Callithrix jacchus: one gene and its partners. The protein of the gene in region 3 interacts with the protein of the main gene of each other region in a pairwise test. Links are inferred from orthologs where the notes say so. Each region holds a gene or a part of one and is shown on either strand. Other genes may lie near its edges.

Evidence for each region.
Region 1: the proteins of BEND7 (region 3) and NKAPD1 interact in binary tests that used the Homo sapiens proteins (3 or more experiments, as listed by UniProt). The two-hybrid records come from large-scale screens. The link is inferred for Callithrix jacchus from reciprocal best matches to the Homo sapiens genes BEND7 and NKAPD1.
Region 2: the proteins of BEND7 (region 3) and SMARCA2 interact in binary tests that used the Homo sapiens proteins (3 or more experiments, as listed by UniProt). The two-hybrid records come from large-scale screens. The link is inferred for Callithrix jacchus from reciprocal best matches to the Homo sapiens genes BEND7 and SMARCA2.
Region 4: the proteins of BEND7 (region 3) and EAF1 interact in binary tests that used the Homo sapiens proteins (3 or more experiments, as listed by UniProt). The two-hybrid records come from large-scale screens. The link is inferred for Callithrix jacchus from reciprocal best matches to the Homo sapiens genes BEND7 and EAF1.
Region 5: the proteins of BEND7 (region 3) and NIF3L1 interact in binary tests that used the Homo sapiens proteins (3 or more experiments, as listed by UniProt). The two-hybrid records come from large-scale screens. The link is inferred for Callithrix jacchus from reciprocal best matches to the Homo sapiens genes BEND7 and NIF3L1.
Region 6: the proteins of BEND7 (region 3) and EAF2 interact in binary tests that used the Homo sapiens proteins (3 or more experiments, as listed by UniProt). The two-hybrid records come from large-scale screens. The link is inferred for Callithrix jacchus from reciprocal best matches to the Homo sapiens genes BEND7 and EAF2.
Region 7: the proteins of BEND7 (region 3) and PPP1R37 interact in binary tests that used the Homo sapiens proteins (3 or more experiments, as listed by UniProt). The two-hybrid records come from large-scale screens. The link is inferred for Callithrix jacchus from reciprocal best matches to the Homo sapiens genes BEND7 and PPP1R37.

What each region holds. Positions count from the first base shown.
Region 1 is NC_133511.1:11,787,919-11,790,825, forward strand, and holds the end of NKAPD1 (uncharacterized protein NKAPD1), read left to right. Parts: coding exon 1-279; 3' UTR 280-2,407; downstream 2,408-2,907. Other genes in the region: TIMM8B (mitochondrial import inner membrane translocase subunit Tim8 B), read right to left, coding at 2,526-2,693.
Region 2 is NC_133502.1:108,514,011-108,517,510, forward strand, and holds part of SMARCA2 (SWI/SNF-related matrix-associated actin-dependent regulator of chromatin subfamily A member 2), read left to right. Parts: intron 1-3,079; coding exon 3,080-3,500. UniProt on the Homo sapiens protein: ATPase involved in transcriptional activation and repression of select genes by chromatin remodeling (alteration of DNA-nucleosome topology).
Region 3 is NC_133508.1:14,517,168-14,521,459, reverse strand, and holds the start of BEND7 (BEN domain-containing protein 7), read left to right. Parts: upstream 1-1,492; 5' UTR 1,493-1,565; coding exon 1,566-1,626; exon of another isoform or gene 1,627-1,808; intron 1,809-1,912; exon of another isoform or gene 1,913-2,077; coding exon of another isoform or gene 2,078-2,099; intron 2,100-3,902; coding exon 3,903-3,986; intron 3,987-4,292.
Region 4 is NC_133518.1:54,229,290-54,233,456, reverse strand, and holds the start of EAF1 (ELL-associated factor 1), read right to left. Parts: upstream 2,801-4,167; 5' UTR 2,478-2,800; coding exon 2,105-2,477; intron 1-2,104. Other genes in the region: tRNA N(3)-cytidine methyltransferase METTL6, read left to right, coding at 3,463-3,687. UniProt on the Homo sapiens protein: Acts as a transcriptional transactivator of ELL and ELL2 elongation activities.
Region 5 is NC_133507.1:122,013,311-122,016,516, forward strand, and holds the end of NIF3L1 (NIF3-like protein 1), read left to right. Parts: intron 1-2,273; coding exon 2,274-2,458; 3' UTR 2,459-2,706; downstream 2,707-3,206. UniProt on the Homo sapiens protein: May function as a transcriptional corepressor through its interaction with COPS2, negatively regulating the expression of genes involved in neuronal differentiation.
Region 6 is NC_133516.1:81,051,658-81,055,157, forward strand, and holds part of EAF2 (ELL-associated factor 2), read right to left. Parts: intron 2,371-3,500; coding exon 2,234-2,370; intron 39-2,233; coding exon 1-38. UniProt on the Homo sapiens protein: Acts as a transcriptional transactivator of TCEA1 elongation activity. Acts as a transcriptional transactivator of ELL and ELL2 elongation activities. Potent inducer of apoptosis in prostatic and non-prostatic cell lines.
Region 7 is NC_133523.1:39,285,965-39,289,966, forward strand, and holds the start of PPP1R37 (protein phosphatase 1 regulatory subunit 37), read left to right. Parts: upstream 1-1,202; 5' UTR 1,203-1,355; coding exon 1,356-1,557; intron 1,558-4,002. UniProt on the Homo sapiens protein: Inhibits phosphatase activity of protein phosphatase 1 (PP1) complexes.

The DNA of each region.
Region 1 (2,907 bases), on a different chromosome or scaffold from region 3:
CAACCGCATAAGCGCAAGAAAAAATCCAGGAAAAAGTCTCTCAAGAAACCTGCTTTATTCTTAGAGGCAGAAAGTAACACTTCCCATTCAGATGATTCAGCATCCAGCAGTTCTGAGGAAAGTGAGGAAAGAGACACTAAAAGAACCAAAAGGAAAAAGAGAGAGAAAAAAGTCCATAGCCCTGTAGCCAACAATGAAATACAAGAGAGGACAAACAAACGCACAAATTGGAAAGTGGCTACAGATGAAAGGTCTGCTGAGAGCTCAGAGGATGACTAAATGGGAAACATTTTTGTTTTCCACATGACTGTGGATATTTACAGTTCTTACTCCTTGTGGTTTTGCAGGTGACTCTTGTTCAGCACGGGGGCCAGAGGTCAGAGCTGTCTTGTGCCATCTGTATGTTCCGACAGACTTCTTGTCTTCTAGTCCGGCGTTAAGCTTGATCCCCTTTTCTTGTTAAAAGGGCATCTGGTATTTTGTTATGAAGGTTTCTTGAAGAGATTATTTTTTGCAGTTAATCACATTTAGTATAGCACACATATACAGCAAATTAAAGGACCCAGAAAGCTGGATCCAGTGGTAACCTGGGTACACCAATTGGAATATTGAATTTGGGGAAGTCAAGGGCTGGGATCAAGAGGTGGATTGGAACTAATGCTGTGTAGGATGGTATGACAAGGCAACACTATATTGCTCTTTGTTTATATAGCAGGTATCACAACTGACTTGTCTTTAGCCTTGGTGCTTCGATCCTTCTGTATTTTGACCCTACAGGTATGGTCCAGTTTACTTAATCAGGAAATGGGCCTAAGAACAAACGTTTTCCTTTCATGGTAACATCCGTAGACAACTTACTAGAAGAGACTACAGTTTCCTCAAATTTCCCTGCTGGACGGGGCCTACAGCTGTACTTAGTATACCCCTAAACATTGTAATTGGATAGTAAATGGTTTTCTAGCTCCATTGCTGTATATTTGCCTAAATGGACTTGTGTTCAAATTATTTCTTCAGTTGTCACAGATAAATCCTTTACCAAATGGGGAAGAAATAGGAAATAGTCATGTTGTCTAATGGTACTCTGGATTCAGGGCAGCAACTGCCATTTAAACATTATCTTATTAATGAACTTTAGGTTTTCCCTGAAACTAAGTTGAATTATTTCCAAAATGAAACAGGCTTCTCAGGGACATACCCACTTCTTCCCAGTCTGCCTTTGGATTAAAGCACCAAGCAGAGACCACGTTATTTCCCTTTGCTATACTGTGATACTTAGTATGTTAATTCTTAAGAAGCCAAAATGTCACTGAAAGAAGGCTCGCAGAACACAAGTGCATTTTTTCACTATGGGAAGAAAGATCAAGTGACATGTTATTTTTTCCTGATTGTCACTTAATGGGCCGAGTAAAAAGCTTGAAAACTCAGACTTTTGATTTTGGTTCTGCCACTAATTGGTTATGAGGAGGCCCAGAGCAGGTAAATTCACCTTCCTGGCCTTACAATTTCCTGGTGTGTAATACAGAGTTAATTCATGGTAGCATGACAGTATAAGACACCAGCAGTAGATACAACTATGATGACATTCCATGAGGTGGTATTTTTAGTTCTAACTACTAAATTTGTCCTCTTTATGGGACAGATTTCTAATAAAGTGCTTGGTCTTAACATACATGGTTGGACAGAGGTGCCCTATCCCTTAACTATGAGCAGGTGCTACCTTTTGGGATATTTATTTGAAATTTTAATACTTTGGTACTCAATTGTCAATGTTCCATGGTGTGTATTTTTATTTTTGGGATTAGTGGGGGCCTAAAGGGAGGGGAATAGTCTATAATTACTACCTCTTAACCTAAAACAATTATTTTGTTCCTGGAGCAAGTTAAAGCTTTGTTAGAAGGAGCTTTGGCCATATATTTTTTAGCATGCATTGTTTCTGTGCTCTGAAAGTACTGATTTTAAGCACGGATTCAGGAAGATGGGCCAATAGAACAGGTCATCTCCAGGAAATTGGCTCTATTTGGTTCCTGACCTTCCCTTCCTCCCATGGTAGCAAGGAATACACATCTTGCATTTTTTTTTTTTGCCATGTTAATCTTTTCTTGGTCATGTATAAGCAATAAAGCTGTTTTTTGTTCTTCATCTTTCTCAACCCCAAATTTTCTATGCCTTAGGCTTTGATGCTTCTTCCAACCCCCTTAATATGGCCTAGGGTGGCTTTTCAAAACCTACAATCCCCCATTTGCACTGCTGGCCATGGAGCATTTATTTCTAGTATTCCTGCCAATCAGAGATCTCTATATTCTAAAATGGGATTAAAAGAATAGTTGGAGAATTCACATTATTGAATAACTGATGTGATATAGCCTGGAATTTCTGAATTCCAAATAAATAAATTTCACTCTTTGAACATTTCATCTTTTACTTTTTAGCACCAGCAGACTTGATAACAGCCAACCTTCCCCTACTGGCCCTTCAGTCTGCTTAATAACAAGTCCTTTGCTTCTGTCATTCTCCTGGGGGATAGCCTACTGCCCTCCTTTCTGTACAATCTGGGCAAACCGACTGGTGATGGCAAGAGTGGTGTCAATGAAGCGGTCTACACAGCTGGAGAGACAGTTTTCAGTTCGAGAATCTAGGCGATTCCCTGGCTTCTCCACACACTTATCCCAACATAGTTCCATGAAATGATGCACCTAAGAGGAAAGAAAAATAGTAACCACTGGGTCTGCAGATAGGCCTCACTCTGTTTAACTTACCACTTTTTCACGTCTGACAAACTATTCTTTAAATGAACCACGGAGCCACTTTGGGCTCTTCTCTTTCTTCATTTTCTAAGTAGTCACCAATATTGATGCAGATCCTCATCCCTACAGATTCTACATTCTCTAATAACCTTTTATATTCCCC
Region 2 (3,500 bases), on a different chromosome or scaffold from region 3:
TACTTTCAAATGAGCAAATCAAACAAGATTCTGCAAGAGCAGAATCTGCATCAACACTGTCATCCTGCAGACGAATGTATATTCACTTTCAGGCAATTTCTTAACTCGTTTTTTCAACTAAAGATAATTACCAAAATATGTGATTTTGTTGTATCACTTAGATTCTGTTTTTCTTCAAGTTTTATGGGATGCTATTCATGCAGAAATAAAAATCTCTATTTTTAATACCATACTGTGGCAGAATGATTCTGTTCACGTCTCCTGCAAAATCGGGGAAATAATCTTCTCACTTCCAATTTCTTCTGATCAAATTTGAGGTAAGAATTTTTTTGGTATTGACTTTCCAGTGACCAGGTTCTCTCTTTTTTTTTTTAACCAGTTTTTTGGACACTAAAGCCATGCAGACCAGGTTCTTTTTTCTCAGGGTTTGAATTCTTATGCTTAATCTGTCTCACCTTCATAATGTCGCCTTGTTCATACTTTAAAAGGGTGATTTAATAAATAGTGTTATACAGTTGAATTTATACTAGATTGCCTAATATTTCGGTTCATTGTATTAGGTGTATTATGATTTGCTATGAGTGAGCTTGTAATGGATGACCCTAGGAAATAGGAAAGACCAAAAATCAGGAATCATATGACTCATTTTAACCTCTGGTAGTATCTCTACTACTGTGAAAATGTTAGTAGCTTTGGTGGAAAGATTTTCCACCTGTGGTAGTCTCAGGGCCAGAAAGAAGTCCTAATGAACAGGCTACCATTTTGTATTAGCATTGCAATTAAGGGGTTAATGTAAGCCTTATTAAAGAAGAAGAATGTTAATGCTGAAGTTAAGTGTCTGTTAATTCTCTAAGTGTTCATTATTATGATAACAACATGTTGGGATTTAAATTTCTGCTAGTCTTGCAGGCTTTCAAGGGAATTTTCCTGGTTAATTTATATAACCAACTCAAACCCTCATCACTGCATGGTGTTGGTGCTTCCTCATGGAGCAGGGATTTGTGGAATGAAATTGAGCAATTCTTCTATTTCCCTTTAGGGCAGGATTTCCCTGAATAGAGTTCTACTTCTCACCAGTTAATGGAGCAAAACCCATTCTTGGTTTAGGGGATCACACCAAATTTGTCTCCCTCTTCAAATGACAATTGGAGATAAAAGTAATGGAATCTTTTATTTTCTTTGGTCTCGTGAATTATGATGCTGAATCCCCAGTTGGTGGTGGTTATATATTCTCAGACCTCTGTGATTTCTGCAGATGCACAGAGCTCTTTCAGTTCAACTTGTCATAGGTTCAAGCACGTGGCAGGAATTTAGTAAACACGCGATGACCTTTGTGAGAACTGTGACATGATTACATTTATAAAAGGGCAGAGACTTTTCATCTATGTATGTAATGCTGTGTCCTGGGATACCTTTGACTTGATTGGCACTTTGTTTCAACTCTAGGCCACCTTTGGATTGCTGTAGGCCAGTTTGTTCTCTCCTTCATCTTGGATCTCCCTCCAACAATGCTCAGCTGTATGTTTTTCTAGGAATTCTATGGCCAAGTTAGGCAGGTCATCTCCTGAAATAAGTCCCTTGAAGTTTTTTGTGCATTTTGATTCTTTTCTTCCCCAAAATAAATTTCTTAAATTTCCCATTTAGATCTCTTATAAACCAAACAGTTTACTCTCACTTTTATGTAATAAGTGCCTCTAGAAGGTTTTTTGAAACTTTCAAGTTCCTAACTTATTTTCATATAACCAAATTTATATTAGATCATGGAAAGGGCACATGCATTGAAATTGGACCTTGGTTTAAATCTTGGAGCTGCCATAAGTTAATTGTGTGACTTTGGGTAACTGGTTTACTCTCTGAGCCTCATTTTTCTCATTTGAAAAAATGTGGTAACAGTATATATCTTTTACGGTTGTTTTAAGGATTAAAGAAATAATGTATGTTCTACCCATATCTTCTTGATTCCTCATGATTTCTATAACCCCACCAGCCTGATTTCCTGTGCCCAAAACCACCATCTTGGTTACTTCCATCTACTGACACCTACCTTTCCCACATATGGCAAAGTCCCTGGATGATAATAACCTCTAGAGCATTAGTCATAACTAGTGACTTAACAAGTGACTGCTGATTGTGGGAGGATAAATACCCCAACTTCTTTACCCCTTTCCTGGAATAATTTGGAGGCAAGTTATTTACCATATATTCCAGAGTTTCTGCACTGAATTAATCTTGAGGCACCTACTACAGCAGCTGGCTTGATGATATCCCCCTTATTGCCTGCTTTCCCTTCCTCATATTACCTTTTTGTATGCCTGTTGGTGTCCCTGCATCTTCCCAGTAATTACCTGTAATCAATCCTTAAATGAGGCTCTGCCTCTAGGAAGAACCCAACGGTGAGAGTTGAGTGCAGTCAACTCCTTGCATAGTGCCTACAACATGTAGGCATTCAGTAATTGCAAGTTATTCGTAACATGTATAATAATAAACCAAGTGTTCGCTCTCCACATAAGACATTCTTTATTCCGCATTGAGAGATATCAGGCGCCATCAGGTTTTGTTCTCCCAGTTGGAGCTACTTTTACCATACAGTGCTGTCCCCTGGTGCCTTTCTTTTAGGTGAACAACAGCCACTAATAGTTTCCCTTCTAAGACACGTGTGGCTATTGATCACTTGAAGTGTGATTAGTTTGAATTGTGCTTTAAGTGCAAAATATTTCGTGGATTTCAAAGACTTAGTATAAAAAAATGTAGATTATCTTACCAACAATTTTTACATTTTAAAATGATGTTTTAGATATGTTGGTTTAAATAAAATATATTATTTAAATTAACTTCACCTGTTTTTTTAACCTTTTAAAGTAGCTACTAGAAAATTTTAAATTTTACATATATATAAAGCACATTAATATACTAAAATTTTAAACTACATATACTTAATAAATTATAGATATAATTAATTATATGTTATTTTAATTTCTATCAGACAGTGTTGTAGACAATTATTAGAGTACTCTGGGATATCTCTCTTTCGGGGTTGTCAGGGCAGCCTGTGATTTCCTTTTGTGTTTTTTTACTTTAGGTTATCTGTCGCCGCACCCATCTCCGCTGGGAGCCCCAGAGCACGTCTCCAGCCCGATGTCTGGAGGTGGCCCAACTCCACCTCAGATGCCACCAAGCCAGCCAGGGCCCCTCATCCCGGGTGATTCACAGGCCATGAGCCAACCCAACAGAGGTCCCTCACCTTTCAGTCCCGTCCAGCTGCATCAGCTTCGAGCTCAGATTTTAGCTTACAAAATGCTGGCCCGAGGCCAGCCCCTCCCTGAAACGCTGCAGCTTGCAGTCCAGGGGAAAAGGACGTTGCCTGGCATGCAGCAACAACAGCAGCAGCAGCAGCAGCAACAGCAACAGCAACAGCAGCAGCAACAGCAGCAGCAGCAGCAGCAGCAGCAGCAGCCACCACAACCACAGACGCAGCAACAGCAGCCGGCCCTTGTTAACTA
Region 3 (4,292 bases):
ATGTGTGTTTCTGCAAGCTGCCTCAATGTCCCCCTTCCTCAGCAGTCATCCTGCTCTGTGTCCCTGAAATAAGAGCGGCCCCTCAGCGGCCGCCTCATTTGGGTGGGACCCATGGTGACACTCCATTACATTTGTCAACCTCCCCTTTTTCCTCTCTTCTCTTTTGGGGCCCCCAGCCTTTGTCCCGTGCTGGAGAGTTGGCCCCCCGCCCAGACTCTTTATCCTCTTCCTGGTTGGGTTTGGCGGATACTTTCACGCATGTCCCATCACGTTCCTACCCTGCCATTCCCAGGTGGTGTCAAATTCTTTTCCGGGCCCACTCCAAAGATGTGAGGAAGAAATGGTGCCTGGGGTGCTCTCGCTGCACCCTGAGAGGCATATTACACAAAACGAATAAGCGCTTTGTGTTTAGGTCCATGATTTCGACTTATGACCTGGAGAGGCAGAGGGCCCTGCACCAGCCTTGACCATGGCCTCCTGAGAGTCCCCAGGGCCACCAGGCCCCCTCCGCCCTTCCACCCTCTCCAGGCCCCCCATTCCAAGTGCTCTCCTTCAATGTGCCTCGGCTCTTGCCACAGTCCGCCCAGCCTGGGTTAGGACACGGGCGCTCTCTCCACTGTACTCTTCTCCACAATATTCTCAAACCTCCTGTCCATGCAGAGAGAGCGCAGATGGGTAAGTTTTCCCCCCTAAAACTTGCCTAAAATCAGCGCGTCGGGCCCCGGGGCGCCCGGGATGCGAGGGCGGGGAGGTGGCTGCCGGGCGGTCCGCGCACCCACCGCGAGGTGCTCAGAGGAGCTCGGCCCAGCGGCGGCGGAGGGAGGCCGGCCAGCGGGGTCTGCGAGCGGAGGCCCGGGCGGCGGCGTCCCCGGGGGCAGGCAGGCCGGTCGGGCCCCGGCCGGGGCGCTGCGCCGCGGCCTCCGCGCCTCCTCGGGGCGCCGCACGACCAGGCCCGCGGCGGCGGCGGCCCCCGGGGATGGCGGCGGCCGGGCTCCGCCAGCAGGTGGCCCCGGGGTCCCGGCGGCGCCGCCCCCTCCGCCGGCGCCCCTCCTCCCGCGGGGGCGGTCAGCGCCCCGGCCGGCTCCGCACCCGCCGCCGCCCTCCCCGCAGCCCGCCCGCCCGCCCGCCGCGTCCCCGGGGCCGCCGCCGCCACCGCGTCCGCAGGCTGAGCCCAGGCGGGCCGGCCGCCCCGAGCCGCCCGCCCCCGCGCCCCCGCGCCCCCGCCGCCGCCGCCGCCGCCGCCGCCGCCGCGCCCCCGCCCGGCCCGCTCCCAACGGAAAGTTGGGCTGCGGCGGGCGGCGTCTGGAACCCGCGGGCCGGCATGAGCGGGGGCCGCGGGGGCGCCTAGGGCACTGGAGGCGGCGCCGCGCGGGGGCAACTTCACCCGGGAGCCCGCGCCGCCGGGCCCCGCGCCAGCAGCCCCGAGCGGGCTCGCGGTGGTTCCTCCCGTCCCGCGGCCTCCCCCCGCCGACTCCAGGCGCGGACCTTGGTCCCGGCGGCTTCGCGGCGGTGACACGAGCCCGCGCCGCCGCCGCCTCAGCCGCCGCCGCCGCCTTCCCCGCACCATGGAGTTCTCCGAGAGGAAAAGAAGCAGGAAATCCCAGAGCTTCAAACTGGTGAGCCGAGGTAAGCGGCCGCCCGGGCGGCGGGGGCAGGCTGCGGGCGCCGCGCCCTCGGCCGCCCGCGGGGGTCCACGCCGGTGGGCGCGCCCTCCCGGAGCCCCCGGTCCTCCCCGCTCGCCCGGTGCCTCCGCCGAGCTGGCGGGCAGGGCCGCGGCCGCACACGCCGGGCGGCGGGGAAAGTTGCGCGGGGGGAGGTGGGGTGTTATTTAACGTAAACAAGTCGGAGGGCAGCTCAGGAAATTAGCAAACAATGACACCGGGGGGCAGAGCCCTCCTCGGGGCGCCTCCGGGGCTGGGCCGGGGCGGCCGCGGACCTGCCTGGCCATCAGGCCGAGCGTGGACCCTCGGACCTGAGATTTGCTGTTTTTGTTTTCTGGGGTCTAACCCCTTCCCCCCGCCAAGAGGAGGAAAAAGGATGCCCGTTGTTGTTCTTTTTAAGAAGGAGAAAGAAGCTCATGCGGTGTCCAAGCCCAAGGTGTAATTATTGTCATCCAACATCTCTAGCTAGCTGATTTGGGTTGGAAAGGTGTTTTACACTATCACGTAGCAGTCAGATAAGTATCCTTAAAAAAAAAAAAAAAAAAAAAAAAAGAAAGGAAAGAAAAGACATCCAGCTAGTTCCTGATGAATTAACAGGTGTACACCACACTCTTGGGTTTTTATTTGGTCAGGGAGGGGAAAGTGGAATACAGTCTTGTGTTCGGTTACTTGTTAAGTGTCTTCATCTTCCTGATTTCACTTTTTTAAAAAATGTTAAGGTAAGAGCCATCGTGAAAATATGTCTCAAAATGCATTGTCATCTTTAATTAGGGGCAGATGACTTTTCTCATTGTAATGTCACCAGTCCTCATATTGAGTTTACACTCGCTCTGTTTAAATGTCGTCTTTGAATCAAGTTGAGGTCAAAGCCATAGAACCTGTCCACTTTTCCTCTGTCGTTTTCTCTAGCATGGCATCAGAGTAGAAACTCTTCAACAACTGCCAAAGTCACGTGTAAACTGATGAAAATTAGTGAAAAATTGTGGACAATTGCAAGTAATCGAATTTTTCAAACTGAGTTAAGCTAGCTAAGATGTGGATTTGGTTCGTGATGAAAATGGTTTGATTATAGGCATTTTGAAGATCTATTCTTATCTCTTTCCCCTAATTTAGTTTGGATACTGTTTAATGAAAGAGGCCTGAAATCGTTTCACTCATTCAAAATACTTGGCTCTTCCCACTTTCTGAGTAAATTTTTTTTTTTCCACATCCGTGTTGATTACTCAGTTACTTGGACTTTTAAAAGTCTCTGTCTGGGTGACTGCCCTGTTAGTGCTGCTATCTGATACATTCAGGAAGGTAGGCTGCTGCTTCTTGTTGACCGCAGAGAACTTAACTGCTTTATCTTAAAAGTGAGAGTAGTTTTGTTGACCTTGTCCTGTGAGGTCTAAGGCCAAAGGAAGGGGAGTAGGTATTAAGGAGGAAACTCTATTTTTATTTCTAGGTAACCCTACTTATCAAAAATGGAAGCCAAAGTGCAGTAGCCTCCATAGAGAAGCTTGTAAAGTGTTGTATTTTAAACTTTGACTGACATAGCAAGTTTTTCCTTTTTTCTTTCCTTCTTTTTTTTTTTTTTTTTTTTTTTTTGGCAAATTATGGGTCTGATTCTTCTCTCTCTGCAGGTGTGGTTTTAGAAAATAAAGTATTGCATATTAAATAAAGTACAGTAGCTTGAATGCGAAAGAGTCATTTGTGTGAAAGATGAAAATCTTGCTTTCTTATCCAAATTATGCTATACATTTGAAATAACGAAACATGTGTGCTTGCCTTTAAGCTGCTTAAAGGCTGAGGTTTGCTGGGTAAACTGAGAAAACTGCAGTGCTGTCTAACTTTAAAGCATACTGTTGATATACTGGTGAAAATGGGTTGTGAGGAGAAATTTGGAAACCTCCCCTGCTCTATGATTGGGCGAGATATTTCTTTTCCTTGTAAACATACTTGTCACCTCAAAGAAAAGAAGCCTAAAAATTGGCAGCTGTGGGCACAATTTACCGTGAAAATGATGTGATCATGCCAAGCCGTTTTCTCTAGTCAAAGTAATTTTCCAAGTTTTCGTACTCCAGAATAAGCACGTTTTAGGAATTATTATTGAGTACAAATTCTGTGATAATTGACTTCTCAAAAAGTTTATTTAAAAATTATAGATTATACATACTAAATAGAATGAGAGTCTAGACTTGACTGCTTATGCCTGTCTTGAAGTCATTAGGAGGCTAATTTTTGGTTGTTTTCTCATGCCAGATTATCACCATGAGGTATATAAGATCCCAGAATTCAGCAGCGATGTTAATGGGGAGGCCAAAGAGACACAACCCATTTTTTTAGGTAGGTTCCTGTGTCAATTAATTTCTCAGCAAAACATCGTGGCCATTTGCAATTAGGGGGAAAAAAGGAAATTGTTGAGGAACGGGAAATGTCTGCCGTGGCTTAATGTATGACATTCTTTTCAAGACCTTTTATTTTACAGATTGCCAATATATCCCTTATTAACATTGCTAAAAGTTGTAATTTCAGACATAAATGTTTATTAGTGTCTACACACAGTGCTAATTATCACTCACTCACAGAGCCAGATGCTGACTGTGCAGTTTTGTGGCTCTGCGCTCACCCCATTTACATTGCATATTCGCT
Region 4 (4,167 bases), on a different chromosome or scaffold from region 3:
TAGAAAATAAAACTAATTTAGAATTCTTAAACATCTATTTCTTTCTTTTTTTTTTTCTGGAGACAAAGTCTCACAGTCTCACTCTGTCACCCAGGCTGGAGTGCAATGTCATGGTCTCAGCTCATTGCAACTTCTGCTTCCCGGGTTCAAGACATTCTTCTGCCTCAGCTTCCCGAATAGCTGGGACTACAGATGCATGCTGCCGCGCCCGGCTAATTTTTTGTATTTTTTAGTAGAGACGGGGTTTCACTATGTTGCCCAGACTGGTATCAAATTCCTGAACTCAGGCAATCCGCCCACGTTGGCCTCCCAAAATGCTAGGATTACAGGAATGAGCCACTGCGTTCCGCCTTAAGAACCTGTTTCATTATGGAAAACCTCAGATACACAAAAGTAGAGAGAATGGTACAATGAGCCCTGGTGTACCATTATCCAGTTTCAATTATTACCAACTCAGGGACAATCTTGTTTCATCTACACCTCCACATACTTTTCCTCTGACCCTCTTTGAGTTATTCTAGGGGGGAAAAGAAATTTACAGGTTATTTTATTAAACAAAGACATTCCCTTCTCCCAAGGGAGAGATGAAAATTAATGCCTCATCATCCATAATAAGTTGCTTTTTTAGGGTTGTGAGGATCAAAAGTAATAGCATATGAAAAAGAATAGTGATGAGGTCTCACCATGCTGCCCAGCCTGGTCTCAAACTCCTGGGCTCAAGCTATCTGCCTGCCTCGGCCTCCCAAAGTACTGGGATTATAGTGTCAGCCACCACTCTTGGCCAGTTCCACAGCTTTAACCAAGACACTTCTGTAGATGTTCGGAGCAGACAACTGTATCTCCAAAATTTATCCTACTCATGTTTCTAAATTGCAGTTAAGAGTACAACACGAATAGCCATCTTAATTCACATTCACACCTGCCTCAAACTGCAGGCCAGGTGCACACATGAACTATATGATAAATTCCACCTTGCCCTTCACCAGAAGAAAACATCAACTTAGTAAACTGTTCAGGAAATGATGTTCTTATCTCATTCCCAATCTCCTCTCTCTGAAAGTGCTGGATCTGTCAGTAGGAAGCATAGTAATGGCATGGCAAGTGACCACACAAAGATGGAATTTCATTATCTAAGACGCCCTCTTCACGTGTGTTGAGTCACATCTATTAGGTCCTCTGACAAAAACAAGTCCTAACAACAGCGTTAGTGCCACGGAAACCAGAAGTTCATGAATCACGGAGGGATGCTCTGTCAGCCAATTCCTAACTGCCAAATCTTCACCCAGGACATAGGGTGGAAGTGCACTCGCTCAACAGAGTCTATAATCTGTAGAAAAAGGTCCGGCGTAATGACTATTTCGGCATTCCTTGCGCCTGCTCTCTTCTGCTTCCAAACATAGACCAATCTTTAACCTACCCCAGGCTCACGAACTCTAATTTGACCAAGGAACTTGGTCTGGAGGAAAAGCCAGGGTGGTAAAGGTAACCTCAAAAGAGATCCAAGTCAAAGGAAGCACAGAAAGGAGATGGAAAAAGACTCTGATGAGGACAGAGAGGTTGCCAATTCTTTGGCCGTAGAGCGGACAAAGCACAGTATCTGGGTGTCCAGGACCAGGTCGGAGGAGGAAAACAGGGAAGAGAATGGATTCGGAGGGAGTGGATGAGGCTCACAGCAAACAAGAACTGTCTTTTAAATGTGGGGAACCCTGATGGGAGCATCGGAAAGGAGGAAGAGGGGTGTCGAGGGGGAAGAAGTGGACCTGGATAAGAAAGGTTTGCCTGGTGAAGGAGGGGAAGGTTTGCCTTAGGGGCGAGGTGGGGGTCGGGGAGGGATGGAAATGGAAAGAGGCCAATGACCTTTGGAACTAGTGTTTGAGACTATGAGGTAGAAGAATAGAAGGGGGTGACGAAGATTTGGGAGAAATAATCTGGGTAAAAGAAGGAACAAATCGAAGTACGAAAGGATTTGGGGTTCGAGAGAAGGTAACTGACGCTGGCAGGGGGTTCCCTGGAATCTGAAGGGCTGAGGGAAGAAAGGAAGGAGTAGGGGTTGATATGTGGCGCCTGGAGCGGCCGAAGGGAACTGTGGGGAGCGCTGACTTACAACGAATCGTGTGGAAGGAGGCCCGCGGCCGCTTCTCGAAGCTCTCCCCAAGCCGCAGGCAATGTTCCTCGCGGTCCAGCAGCGGGTTCGCGGTCCCGTTCATGGTTCCGCACCGACCTCGCACCCGGATCGGCGCTCTCCTGGCACAGCCGCGACCCGAGCTTCCGGCGTTGGCGTCTGGAAGGACGCTGCTCCTGGGAGGACACCGCTCTGAAGCGCAAGGAAAGCCGAGCCGGCGCCCACAGGGGTTCGCAAGCAAGCCTTCTTCTCTGTCTCGGGGTGGAGGAAGAACCTGAGGCAGTAAGGCCGCGGGACTTCCGACGTTGGGTAGGAACTTCCGGGTTCCCAGCGGAAGTGGCGGGGGCGGTGCCATGACAAAAGAACTCCTCCCGGAGAATCCCACTGCGAGGTCCTCAGGATTGGCTCAGAGTTGTGCCGCGACGCCTCCCATATTCTGCCTCCGAAACTTGAAGCTGGGTGTGGGGTGAGTGCTCCTGGCCCTACCCCTACAGTTGAATTTAGGAACTGATGACAGTAACCCCTGAGCGTGGCTGACTAGATACGCGGGTCGGCTAGTCATTAAGGGCGCCCCTCCTCAGGGTCTAGGGCCCCACGTGGCCTAGTTTATCCTGAGTGTCCTGAGGTGGATCCGCGGGACCTCAGCCACGCGTCACTGGGTCTCTTCCTCCTGTTCGCGCGGTGATAGCGGTGCGAGAGCCTCAGTCCCTGGAAAGTGACGCCCCCTCTGGTCCGCACGACAGCCTCTTGTGAGTGCGATCAGGAACGGAGCCCCCCCGCCAGGCTTCGCTTCATTTCCCCCGAAAAAACGGAGCTCCGACCCTTGGGAAACGGGGAACTCACTTGTATCTGGCAATTGACCACCCGCTTCCAGCTAAGGCCATTGTGGTTTTAAAGTTACCCCTTTCATGGGCACCAAAAATTGAGGAGTATTTTCTCCACAAGGTTTCTCAGTCAGTTCGTGAGAGGGCCTTTTTCTAAACTAAATCGATTTATTGTAACAGTTGTCTCATCTGGTTTGAATAAAAGTATGGTGCATAAGATAGTCCTGGCCACTGAATGAATGTATCTTCTCTGAAGTATGGACTGTGTCTTGATCTTCTTTGTGACCTCACCTATAGCGGGCAGGATCTTTTTTTGTACAGTCGGCATCTCATAAATATTTGTGAATTGAACCTGCCGTCTTGCACTGTTCTAGAACCACTAACCAGAATCTCATTCTTTTTTCTGCGAAGCAACTCACCTGAGGAAATGCATCTGACTCATTAGCATGGATTTATATTGTTTGGGGATGGAGAATCTTCAGCTGCCTTAAGTTTCTGTTACCGTCAGTTTCTGAGATGGCTTCTTTGCAAAGGAAAGGGCTGCAGGCAAGGATTCTCAGCTCTGAAGAAGAGGAGAAACTGAAAAGAGACCAAACTTTGGTGTCTGATTTTAAACAGCAAAAATTGGAACAAGAGGCTCAGAAAAACTGGGATCTTTTTTACAAAAGAAATAGCACTAATTTCTTCAAAGATAGACACTGGACCACCAGAGAGTTTAAGGAGCTAAGATCATGTAGAGAGGTAAGCTAATATTACACCTTATCTGAGCTGTTTTTCATTTAAAATGTGAAAAGGTGTGCTTTATTGCAATCTTAGGGAGAGTGTGAAGTAGAAAATTTAAGAAACCTATCCAAAAGCTTTGCATTTTGGGAGAAAAATATACTTTTTGGTCTTAACACCAAAGTTTTCTCATTTTTTGGTTTGGTTAACACATAGGAGAGAGAACTTTAGAGGGTGTTTTCTGTTTCTTTAAGCTGATCTGATAGTTGTAAACATTAAATATTAAATTCAAGAGCTAGATATGGTGGCTGTCGCCCAGCTACTCCAGAGGCTCTGGCAGGCAACTTGTGCCTGTGTGAATTAGCCAAGCCTGGGCAGCATAGTGAGACCCTGTGTTCTAAATTTTAAAAAATTTAAACATTAGAATTTAAAAAGAACAAAAATATAAATCCATACTGAGTGACTTCAGTGACAAAGTCAAAATAATGATAATAATAATAA
Region 5 (3,206 bases), on a different chromosome or scaffold from region 3:
ACAGTTATCAAATGTGGGAATTTAATACTATTAAAACAGTTGATATACAGTCCATATTCACATTTTCCCAATTGATAAGAATTTATAGCATTTCTTTTTCTGATCCATATCCAGTCCATGATCTCTCATTGCATTTAGTTGTTATCTCTCTTTAGTCACTTTCAATATGAAATAGTTCCTCACCTTTGTCTTCAATAGCATTGACATTTTTAAAGAGTATTGGCTACTTAGGCTGAGCGCAGTCGCTTATGCCTGTTATGCCAACATATTGGGAGGCCGAGGTGGGCGGATCACCTGAGGTCAGGAGTTCGACATCAGCCTGGCTAATGTGGTGAAACCCCATCTCTACTAAAAATACAAAAATTAGCTGGGTGTGGTGGTGCACACCTGTAATTCTGGCTGTCTGGGAGGCAGAGGCAGGAGAATTGCTTGAACCCAGAAGGTGGAGGTTGAAGTGAGCCAGGATTACACCACTGCATTCCAGCCTGGGCAACAGAGTGAGACTCTGTCTCAAGGAAAAGAAAAAAAAAAGAGTATAGGCTCTTTGTTTTGTGCTTCTCTCTCAATTTGGGGTATCTGATTATTTTCTCATAAATACTGTTTTAAAAACTAGTTTTTTTAAAAATGATAAAGTATAATGATATGTGCATAAGATAAATTCAAACAGTTCCAAAATGTTAAAATGTCTTTCCTATCTGGCTGTGGGGAGAAATAGAAAATATATTATCTGGCTAGCATTAGCTGTCTCTGGTCTGTGAGGCATCGCTTTTGAGTATAACTTCAGGGATGTGCAGCCCTACCTAAAGGACTTCTGAACTTCATCACCCTTCCTCTGAGCCTGAGGCAGTGTTCTCATTGTATTAGGTCGTTAAGGGTTAATACCCTGCAAGACCAGCAGATGGGGATCCTGCTCCTTGCAAATGTAAATTCTCTTTTGTCTTCATTCTCCATTTGCTGCTGCTTTTCCAAGCTGCCATCCTGGGCCAAGCTTTTCTTTCCTTTGGCTTCAGCTAGTATTTCAGGGTCTTCACTGATTTCCCCCTTTTTATGCCTTATCCAGCCAGTGAGTTTGTCACAGTACAGAGAGCCAGATTTATCTTTCCTAGTTGGAAACAAGGCTTCCAACTGGGCCATCTTAGTGTCTTTTTCTTGCTTTTTACTTTTACTATATATATATTTTTTTGAGACAGTCTTGCTTTGTCACCAGGCAAAACCCTCTCTCTACTAAAAATACAAAAATTAGCTGGGTGTGGTGGTGGGTGCCTATAATCCCAGCTACTCGAGAAGCTGAGGCAGGAGAATCACTTGAACCCAGGAGGCAAAGGTTGCAGTGAGCCGAGATTGTGCTACTGCACTCCAGCCTGGGCGACAGAGCAAAACTTTGTCTAAATAAATATATAAATAAATTAAAAATTCAGAATATTTGCGTTTTCCCCAAATCTTTTCACAACAGATGAGATTCCCTCCAGAGTTTCTAGGGATTTTGCTTAGTCAAAGAAAAATACTTTGTATTTAATTTGGAAATAATCTTAAATTCATTTCATTCTTATATATTAGACTAAGTTGATGATAGAAATATTGGTGCTTACAAAGCATAAGAGTCTGCTGGGCAGTATACACAGAATTTCCTTCAGAGGTATTTATTACGTACATAAGAGGCAAATTTTCTGAAGGCCTCATTTTACTTAGTAGTGGTCATTCATTTTATTGTGGAAACACTTTGAATAGGTGTTTGCAGATCTGGTTCTGGCGAGATATGTTGTATTGGATAATTGCCTTGGGGTCTGCCAAGGAAAAAGAAGTTGCAATTCTCAATGGGATGGCTTTTATTTTTATTTTATTATTTTTTCGAGACACAGTCTTGCTCTGTCACCGCTGAAGTGTAGTGATGTGATCTTGGCTCACTGCAACCTCCAGTCCCTGGACTGAAGGGATTCTCCTGCCTCAGCCTCCTGAGTAGCTGGGATTACAGTCATGCGCCACCACGCCCAGCTAATTTTTGTGTTTTTAAGATGGAGTTTCACCATGTTAACCAGGCTTATCTGGAACTCCTTAGCTCAGGTGATCCACCTGCCTAGGTCTCCCAAAGTGCTGGGATTATAGGTGTGAGCCACTGCACCCAGACTTTTCTCTCTTTTTAAGTTGGAGGACATAAAAGAAAACTGTACATTCACCTTATATAGAATACAAACTTGGTATTTCTGTTTTTGTGGTTCTTCATTCCACAGATTCCATATCTAGCATTTGAGAATTTGTTCTTTCCTTTTTGGTAGGTGAGATGTCCCATCATGATATTTTGGATGCTGCTTCCCAAGGAATAAATGTCATCCTCTGTGAACATAGCAACACTGAACGAGGCTTTCTTTCTGACCTTCGAGATATGCTGGGCTCTCACTTGGAGAATAAGATAAATATTATCCTATCAGAGACTGACAGGGACCCTCTTCAGGTGGTATAAATGCAGAAACCTCAGGATAACACATTCTACAAATCAGTTGGATGCCAACTTGAATTAGTAAAATGAGTCAGTGGGACTGGTGTGCCTCCAGAGAGTGTCTTAGACAGTATCATCATTTTCGGTTTGTTAATCTGATTCACCAAATGTTCTATCACTCATGAGATAAAAACTGTAATGTAACTACCATATTAAATAACAGGTATTCATTATAAACTCTAGGAAAGATTGAATAAAATCTGTTTACTTAACATTCTCTAGAAAGAGCTCAAGTAATTTTCTCCTTAGTTTAATTGTAGATGGGATGGATCAGTTGGGTTTCTCTGTCCTTGGTTACTTTAACATTATGCTTTGGGTATCAACACTTCTTTCTAGGTAGTAGCCTCTTTGCTGTGATAAGGTCTATTTGTCCCTGTTCCTAGTTCCATCTACATTCCAGTCTCACCTAAATTTCAGAATCAGAATGAGATTGATTTATCAGGATGTTTTAAAACTATACACAATCATTATTCATATTACTATTACTTTATTGCTTTTTAGATGACTCACCTGTAATTTTTTTTTCTTCCATAGTCCTTTGTTCCAGATTTCTGCTCTCACTTTCCTCTCCTGGGGCAATGAACTTGGCTGCAGGCAGAGGGCAGGGCCAGGGAGTGAAATTCCAGAGCAGAAAGAACAAAGTCAGGTATCTCAAAATATCATCCTGCTGCATTTAGTTTGGCACCTTTATCCAGACTGGATGCCCTGTTTT
Region 6 (3,500 bases), on a different chromosome or scaffold from region 3:
GTTCTTTGCGATACTGAATTTTACTGCTTCCTTCAACTCTGCAATTAAGAATATGAAATATTAAAACAGGTATGACAGCAATGTAACAAAAATTTCAACTTACAAAGTTACTAAAATCAACCACTTATTCTTTTCCTAAACATCTTTAGAATAATATCCAAAATTAAAACATTAATTTAGTTCATCATTTAACAAGTATTTGTCAGGTTCTGTTTCTGTGATACACATGTCCATTGAGGGATACAAATGAGAACAAAAACAAAACCCGTGCCAGGCTTGGTGGCTCATGCCTGTAATCCCAGCATGTTGGAAGGCTGAAGTAGGAGGATTACTTGACCCAAGGAATTCAAGACCAGCCTGGTCAATACAGTGAGACCCTGTCAATACAAAAAATAAAGTAAAATAAAAATATTGGCTGGGCATAATGATGCATTCCTGTAATCCCAGCTACTTAGGAGGCTGTGGGAGGATCATTTGAGCCCAGCAGTTTGAAGCTGTAATAAGCTATAATTACACCACTGTACTCCAGCCTGGGTGACAGAGTGAGACCTGTCTCAAAAAACAAAAACAAAAATCCAGGCTGGTACAGTGGCTCACGCCTGTAATCCCAGCACTTTGGGAGGCCGAGAAAGGAGAATGGCCTGAGGTCAGGAGTTCATGACCAGCCTGGGCAATATAGCAAGACCCTATCTCTATTTAAAAATAAATAAAACAACAACTAAAGAATAAAGCCATTGCTTAAATTGAACAGATAAGGCATTCACAAATGACTAAAATAAAAGGAAAAACACAAGTGTATAACAGGTACAATATATTCCCTAAGTTCTAAGATTATTATTTCTGTTAAAACTAAATCACTTCTACATTTTCCATTCATAACTTAAGATAGACATAATAAAGGAGATTCATATACATTTCTCTCAACATCTTTAAGAAGAGTATATAACAAAAGTATGCTTGATTTTTGCCTCTCCCATTTCCAGTCACCAAATCCTATCAGTTCTTCCTACAAACAATCTTCAGACCCTCATTTTTTCTTCATTCCTGCTCTCAAAACTCCTGGTTTATACGTTTTTCTGATTCCTACATTGTTGTCATTTATTCAGTTTCTCTACTGAATTAACGTTTTAAAACAAACTGTAAACATGCCAATCCCTGGTTAAAAAGACTTTAATATGTAACCACTACCAGCAAGATAATGTCCTAATTTCTTAGTTAATATTGATGGCATTAACCTCAACCAACAAAGTTACAACCTTACCTCTAGCCCAATATCAACATCGCCCCCTACTTTCTAAAACATGTACACAGGTACAGAGATAAACCTCTGCTCTGTTCAAATAGGTCTTACTGGCCCTGAATAAGTCAGATATATTTCTGCCTTCAAACTTGGCTTACATCGTCTTCTCCTTTCTACTCAATTAAGCTGGAATTTCACAAACCTTCTTCTAGTATGAATCACAGCAGGGCATGAGTGGTAAAGGTGAGGAGATATTAAAAAATAGAGTTTCCCAGGATCCTTCCCTGACTTAAGGTTAGATTTGGGAATTAATTTTTAACAAGCACCCAAGGTAATTCTTACGATCCCAACCTCCTCTTAAGGTACATCAAAAATGTCTCCCTGAATGTTCCAATCTACCATTACTTCTCCTTTTTCTTAATTCCTAGAGCAACTTTTGTCTATACTATTTGCATGGCTTTTAGAGCAAATATCATTATATTACATGGCAAGTAATGTGTTACCTATTTCCAAAAAGGATTTGAGATGAGTATATTCTCCTATTGACTTTTTAAATGGAATAGTCTGTTTATCTGATTAAAATGCAGAAGTTTTGAGGTGTTTGCATAGCAAACTTTCCTTTTTCTAGTACCTTACACATTATAGGTATTTGATAAATATTTATTAATGAAGATGAAATTATTTTAGAGAATGTATAATGGCTCTTTTCAATCCAGTTATATGAAAGTATCTACAACAGAATAAAAAGTATAACTATACCTATAGAAAGCATTTAGAAGCAAAACAAGCTTTTATATATCACAGGATGATGTGGTAAAAAGCTTTTGGCTTAGAATCTCCACCAAATTTAAACTTAGAAAAAGATTAAAACGTTTTTGTAGCACACAGAAATAACCCCCTTGTATAATAATGTTACTTAATACAGTCAATTTTTCTTAACATTTCCTTAGAAGTTTATGTTTATAATATAATTTATTTCATTAAACCACATACCTTGTTTTTTTTACAGTGATGTTGCTGCTGAGTTTTTCTAGTCGACATTCTCCAGTATCATGGTTAATAATCAAAATGCATTCTTTTAAGTAAGGTTTTTTTGAACCTTTGAAAACAGTTACTGGTGGAGTTGAACCCTGTTTAAAAAGTTAATTATTATTACTGAAAATTTACCATAGGAATTCAGTTGGGAGGGCCTTTGAAATCTTGATACTGTGTTTCTCCTTCTATGTTATACTTCAAGTCACCTATAAACGACCTAAATTTACTACCCTGGATCCAAAAAGAGTGTAGTAAAAAATACAGCTGAAGATAGGCTGAAATCTCAAAGGTGCTATCATTGAGGAAAGGGAAGAGAGGAGGTACTCACCTTGGGCCAGTGAAGATTTGTTTCACTGGCCTATAATGAGCAATTGAGATTCAATTTGAATATAACTAAACCAATGTATTTTATAAGGAAATAGAGCCTTGAATCATATTTTCTATGCCTCTTCTTTTTTTCTTTCTTTCTTTTTTTTTTTTTGAGACAGTCTCACTCCATTGCCCAGTCTGGAGTACAGTGTCACAATCTGAGCTCACTGCAACCTCCACCACCCGGGTTCAAGTGATTCTCCTGCCTCAGCCTCCAGAGTAGCTGGGACCACCATGCCCAGATAAAATTTTGTATTTTTAGAAGAGATGGGGTTTTACAATGTTGGTCAGGCTGGTCTCAAACTCTTGACCTCAAGTGATCACCCACCTCAGTCTCCCAAAGTGTTGTGATTACAGGTGTGAGCTACCGCATCCGCCCTCCTCTTCTTCCTTCTTATTGCTTTGTAAGTTTAATTTTTTTAAATCTGGCATTTTCTTAATGTAGCACCTCCCTATGCAGATTAAGCAACACCTCTTACACTGAACCCACTAATTAATTTTAGCATAATTAAAAGTGAGATAAGCAGACATTATGTGCTTAATGAGGTAATATGAAAGTACACAGCATCATCCATAAAATACTCTTGCCAAAAACCACACAAAAGCCCCAAAGAATTTAATTCTTATCAAACCCCAAAGAATATATAGTCCAGCCTGCCCTTAGAAATATAACTACCAGTTTACAGAAAACAGGAGGAATAGAGGAACAAGTTAAATATATCCAGATGGAAGTAATTTGAAGTCCAGAATGTAGATATATTCTCTAAGACAGATAAAACAGTTTTTCCAGCAAACCAATGGCATGAAAAAGGGAAGAGAGCCAAGTGCAAATATTGGAGTACATAAGTGGAGGATG
Region 7 (4,002 bases), on a different chromosome or scaffold from region 3:
AACGACGCGGCTCGCTCCGCCCCAGTTTCCTTTTATGGTTTCAGCCCCGCCTCTCCCGGGTTGCCGGGTGCGCTAGGGAAAGCGTGGCGAAAGTGCGGCGGCGAATGTCAACCGTTGGGCCTGAGCCGGAGGGTGTGGCTTGAGCTCGCCCTAGTTCGTTCTTGCCTCGGTGACCCACCGGCCTTGTCACTCAGGATTTGGGTTGGCCTTTGGAGTATCTACCTTCTCCTAGGTTTAGTTTTTAAAAATCGCCCATGATACTGCTCATGGGCTCCTATTTATTTTAGCATTGTAATTTAAGTTGTATTTTATGCAACTCTACCTAGGTACAGAGAGCTGTTGATGTTAACTGCGGTGACTAGCCAAGGGGCCGAGGCTTTGTCTCCAGAGGATCCCTATCTGTCAGCATCCATCAACTGTACTTGTATATTGAATGCAGTTCCTATCTGCCTTTTGTTTCGACTTCTTCATGCCGTTACCCACTCTTCATCAGTCTAACCTCCATGTTTATATTTATTTCCTTTTGTTGAGCGAGCCTTTTCCCGGGTCTTGCTCAGTCTCCCAGGCTGGAGTGCAGGGGCGGGATCCTAGCTCCGTGCAGCCTCAACCTCCTGGGCTCAAGCGATTCTCCCACCTCCTAAGCAGCTGGAACTACAGGCGCCCGACACCAGACCCTGCAAATTTTAAAATATTTTTGTAGACGGGGCCTCGCTATGTTGCCCAGGCTGGTCTCGAACTCTAGGACTCAAGCGATCTTCCTGCCTCAGCCTCCCAAAGTGCTGGGATTATAGGCATGAGCCGCCGCCGCGAACCATCAGATATTTTCATTTCTATCCACTCCATTCCCTGGGCTCTTGACGAATGTGCGGAGCTGATATTCGTTATCTGGACTCAGGCGGGGAGGCGTGGGCTTAGCTTCGCGCTTGCGCGCTGCTCTTGGAGACGGCGTCTACTTCGCCCCGCCCCCATGGTCTGCAGTTCCGGCTCTGCAGATTCGCTGCTCACGTTTTTTTTTTCCGTGGCCCTTTCTGCCTTTTGTTTCCCTCTTCATGTCACCTGCGGGACAACTCGACCTGCAAGTCACTTAAATCGGTTTTCTGCGTCTTTTAGTAAGCGACGGGCTCGCCAGCCTCGAGCGAAAGTGTGACTGCGAACGGGCAGGCGCGCGCGGGGCTCGGCGGAGGCGCGCTTGGGCTCCCGGCGGCGACGACTACGACGACGAGGAGAGCGGACGGAGGCGGCGCCTGAAGCAGTGGCGGAGCCCATGCCCCGGGACGGCGGGCGGGCCGGGAGAGACAAGTCCGGGGCCCGGGGCATGTCCCCGGGGCCCCCGTGAGGAGGAGCCGGCGGCGGCTATGGAGATCCCGCCGCAGGAGGCTCCGCCCGGGCCGGGCGCAGACGACGACGTTGAAGAGGCCCCCGTTGAGGCCGGGTCTCCCAGCCCTGCCTCGCCCCCCGCGGATGGGCGCCTCAAGGCTGCAGCCAAGCGCGTCACGTTCCCGTCCGACGAGGATATCGTGTCTGGTGCAGTGGAGCCCAAAGACCCCTGGAGACATGGTAGCTACTGCGGGAGAAGCGGGGGCGGGCTCGAGGGGGACCCGGGGGTCGGGAGGGATCGGTGCAGAGCCCCGTTCAGAGGTGGCGTTCAATAGATTGCACCTAATGGCTAATTAAGGGGACAGTCGTCAGTTTAGAGTCGGAGGCTGTTAGAAGGTGGCCGTGGAGTTGGGAAGGTGAAAAGTATCTGGTTTCTGCCGCACCCCACCCACCCGAGACAAAGGAGGTGATCGTTTTAGGGTTTAAAACGATGAGCATTAAATAAAGTTTGGTGGTTTGTCAGATGGGGAGGGTGGCAGCCTTTGCGTTCGTAGTTCTACCAGAAAAGGAGAGCGAGAGCAGTAAAGGGAGGAGGAGCAGGTCAACACTGGCCCTGAAAGGGCAGTTGTAAGAGTTTGCTGGGTCTCTGAGGCTAAAAAGAGGTTAAGTTGCTGGTCTGCAAGCCTCGGGGCAGGGAGTGATCGTGTTGGTCACTTTCTTGGCTGGAAAGAGGAAGAATATAAACCTGAACTGTGACTGTGGAGAACTTGGTAAGCTCCCAGAAGAGGAGCAGGGCTGGTGGTCAATTTGTGGTTAGGTAAGGGAGTCAGAGGCAGTGTTGTTTTTTCTTTTTATTGTGATGATATCTCATTATGTTGCCCAGGCTGGTCTTGAACTTCTGGATTCAAGCGAGCCTCCCGCCTTGGCCTCCCAGAATGTTGGGATTACAGGCGTGAACCACTGCCTCCAGCTGCAGTGTGGTGTTAAGAAAAGCCAACGGCAGAAGGAAGGCTGTCAGTCGTTCAGGAGCAGAGGATGTTTGGGGCATGACTGTGGAAGGGTCTTCTTGTTCCTTCCTGAGAAAGAATGAGCCAATACTGGATGCATTGGCTCATTCCCATAATCCTAGCACTTTGGGAGGCCGAGGCAGGTTGATCACTTGAGGTCAGGAGTTCAAAAGCAGCCTGGCCAACGTGGGGAAACCCTGTCTCTACTCAAAATATAAAAATCGCCTGGGGCATGATGGTGTGCCCTGTAATCCCAGCTACTTGGGAGGCTGAGGCAGGGAGAATGGCTTAAACCTGGGAGGCAGAGGTTGCCGTGAGCTATCACAACATTGCACTCCAGCCTGGGTGACAAGAGCAAAACTCTGCCTCAAAGAAAAAAAAAGAATGAGAGGATGTTATCAAGTCAGGAGCTAGAGTTGCTGGCTATTAGCAGGTGAGAGAACTGAAGAAGTTTGACCACTTGAGGTGTTGGGAGAGGGGGCAAGCCCACTGAAGAGGGTCAGGTCAGTGTTGGAGCTGAAAGGAGTGTATTGGAGCCATAGGGCTGGGAAGGTGGAAGTTGCTTGGGAGATGCAGGGCAGTGTTGAGTTCATTTCGTGCTGGAGAAGTCTGTCAATCCTGCTAGGGTGGAGCCCATGAAGTGAGGGATTGGACTGGCTGTGGTTCTCTAGAAGCTGATCTCCTGGCCCAGGGTAAGGGGAGAAACTTTTGCCGGTCTGTGGACAGTGGAGGAAGTGGTGGCTTTGATGTGAGGGTGGGAAACGTGGTAACTGGAAACTGAACACACAGGGAGTCCATCATGAATGAGTTTGGTTACTTCTTCTTATTATTGTTTTAGATGGAATCTCCCTCTGTCGCCCAGGCTGGAGTGCAGTGGCATGATCTCGGCTCACTGCAACCTCCGCCTCCTGAGTTCCAGCAATTCTCCTGCCTCAGCCTCCTGAGTATCTAGGATTGCGAGCGCCTGCCACCGCACCTGGCTAAAAGTGTTTGTATTTTTAGTAGAGACAGGGTTTCACCGTGTTGGCTAGGCCAGTCTCAAACTCCTGACCTCAGGTGATCTGGCTGGCAGTGGTTAAATTAAGACTTTTGGGCTGGGTGCCATGGTTCATGCCTGTTACCCCAGCACTTTGGCAGGCCAGCGTGGGCAGATCACCCATGCCCAGGAGTTCAAGACCAGCTTGAGCAACAAGGTGAAATGCCATCTCTAAAAAAAATAGAAAAATTAGCCAGGTGTGGTGCATATGCTTGTAGTCCCAGCTACTTGGGAGGCTGAAGAGGGAGGATGACTTGAGTTCAAGAGGTTGATGGTGCAGTGAGCTATGATTGCGCCACTGAATTCCAGCCTGGGTGACAGAGATCCTGTCCAAAAACAAGAAAAAAAAAAGAGACTTTTGGCACTGGGAGCCAGCCAAGTCCTTGGGCTCTACGGCCCAGGGAGAGGTGGTTAGTTTGGGACCAGGGCACAGTCAGAATGGCCCCTGGCTATAGCATGGTATCCAGTTCAGAGCAGGAAGGGGAAAGACCTGGAGAGTCAGAACAGGGTGGTTCAAGAGCAGAGGCTCCAGGTCAGAGCCTTCGAGACCTCAGACTGGTTACCTAGCTCCTGAGCCTCAGTTTTCCCATCTGTAAAGTAGGTGGTAATACTCTCACCATGGGATTTAGGAGAGGGCTGGAT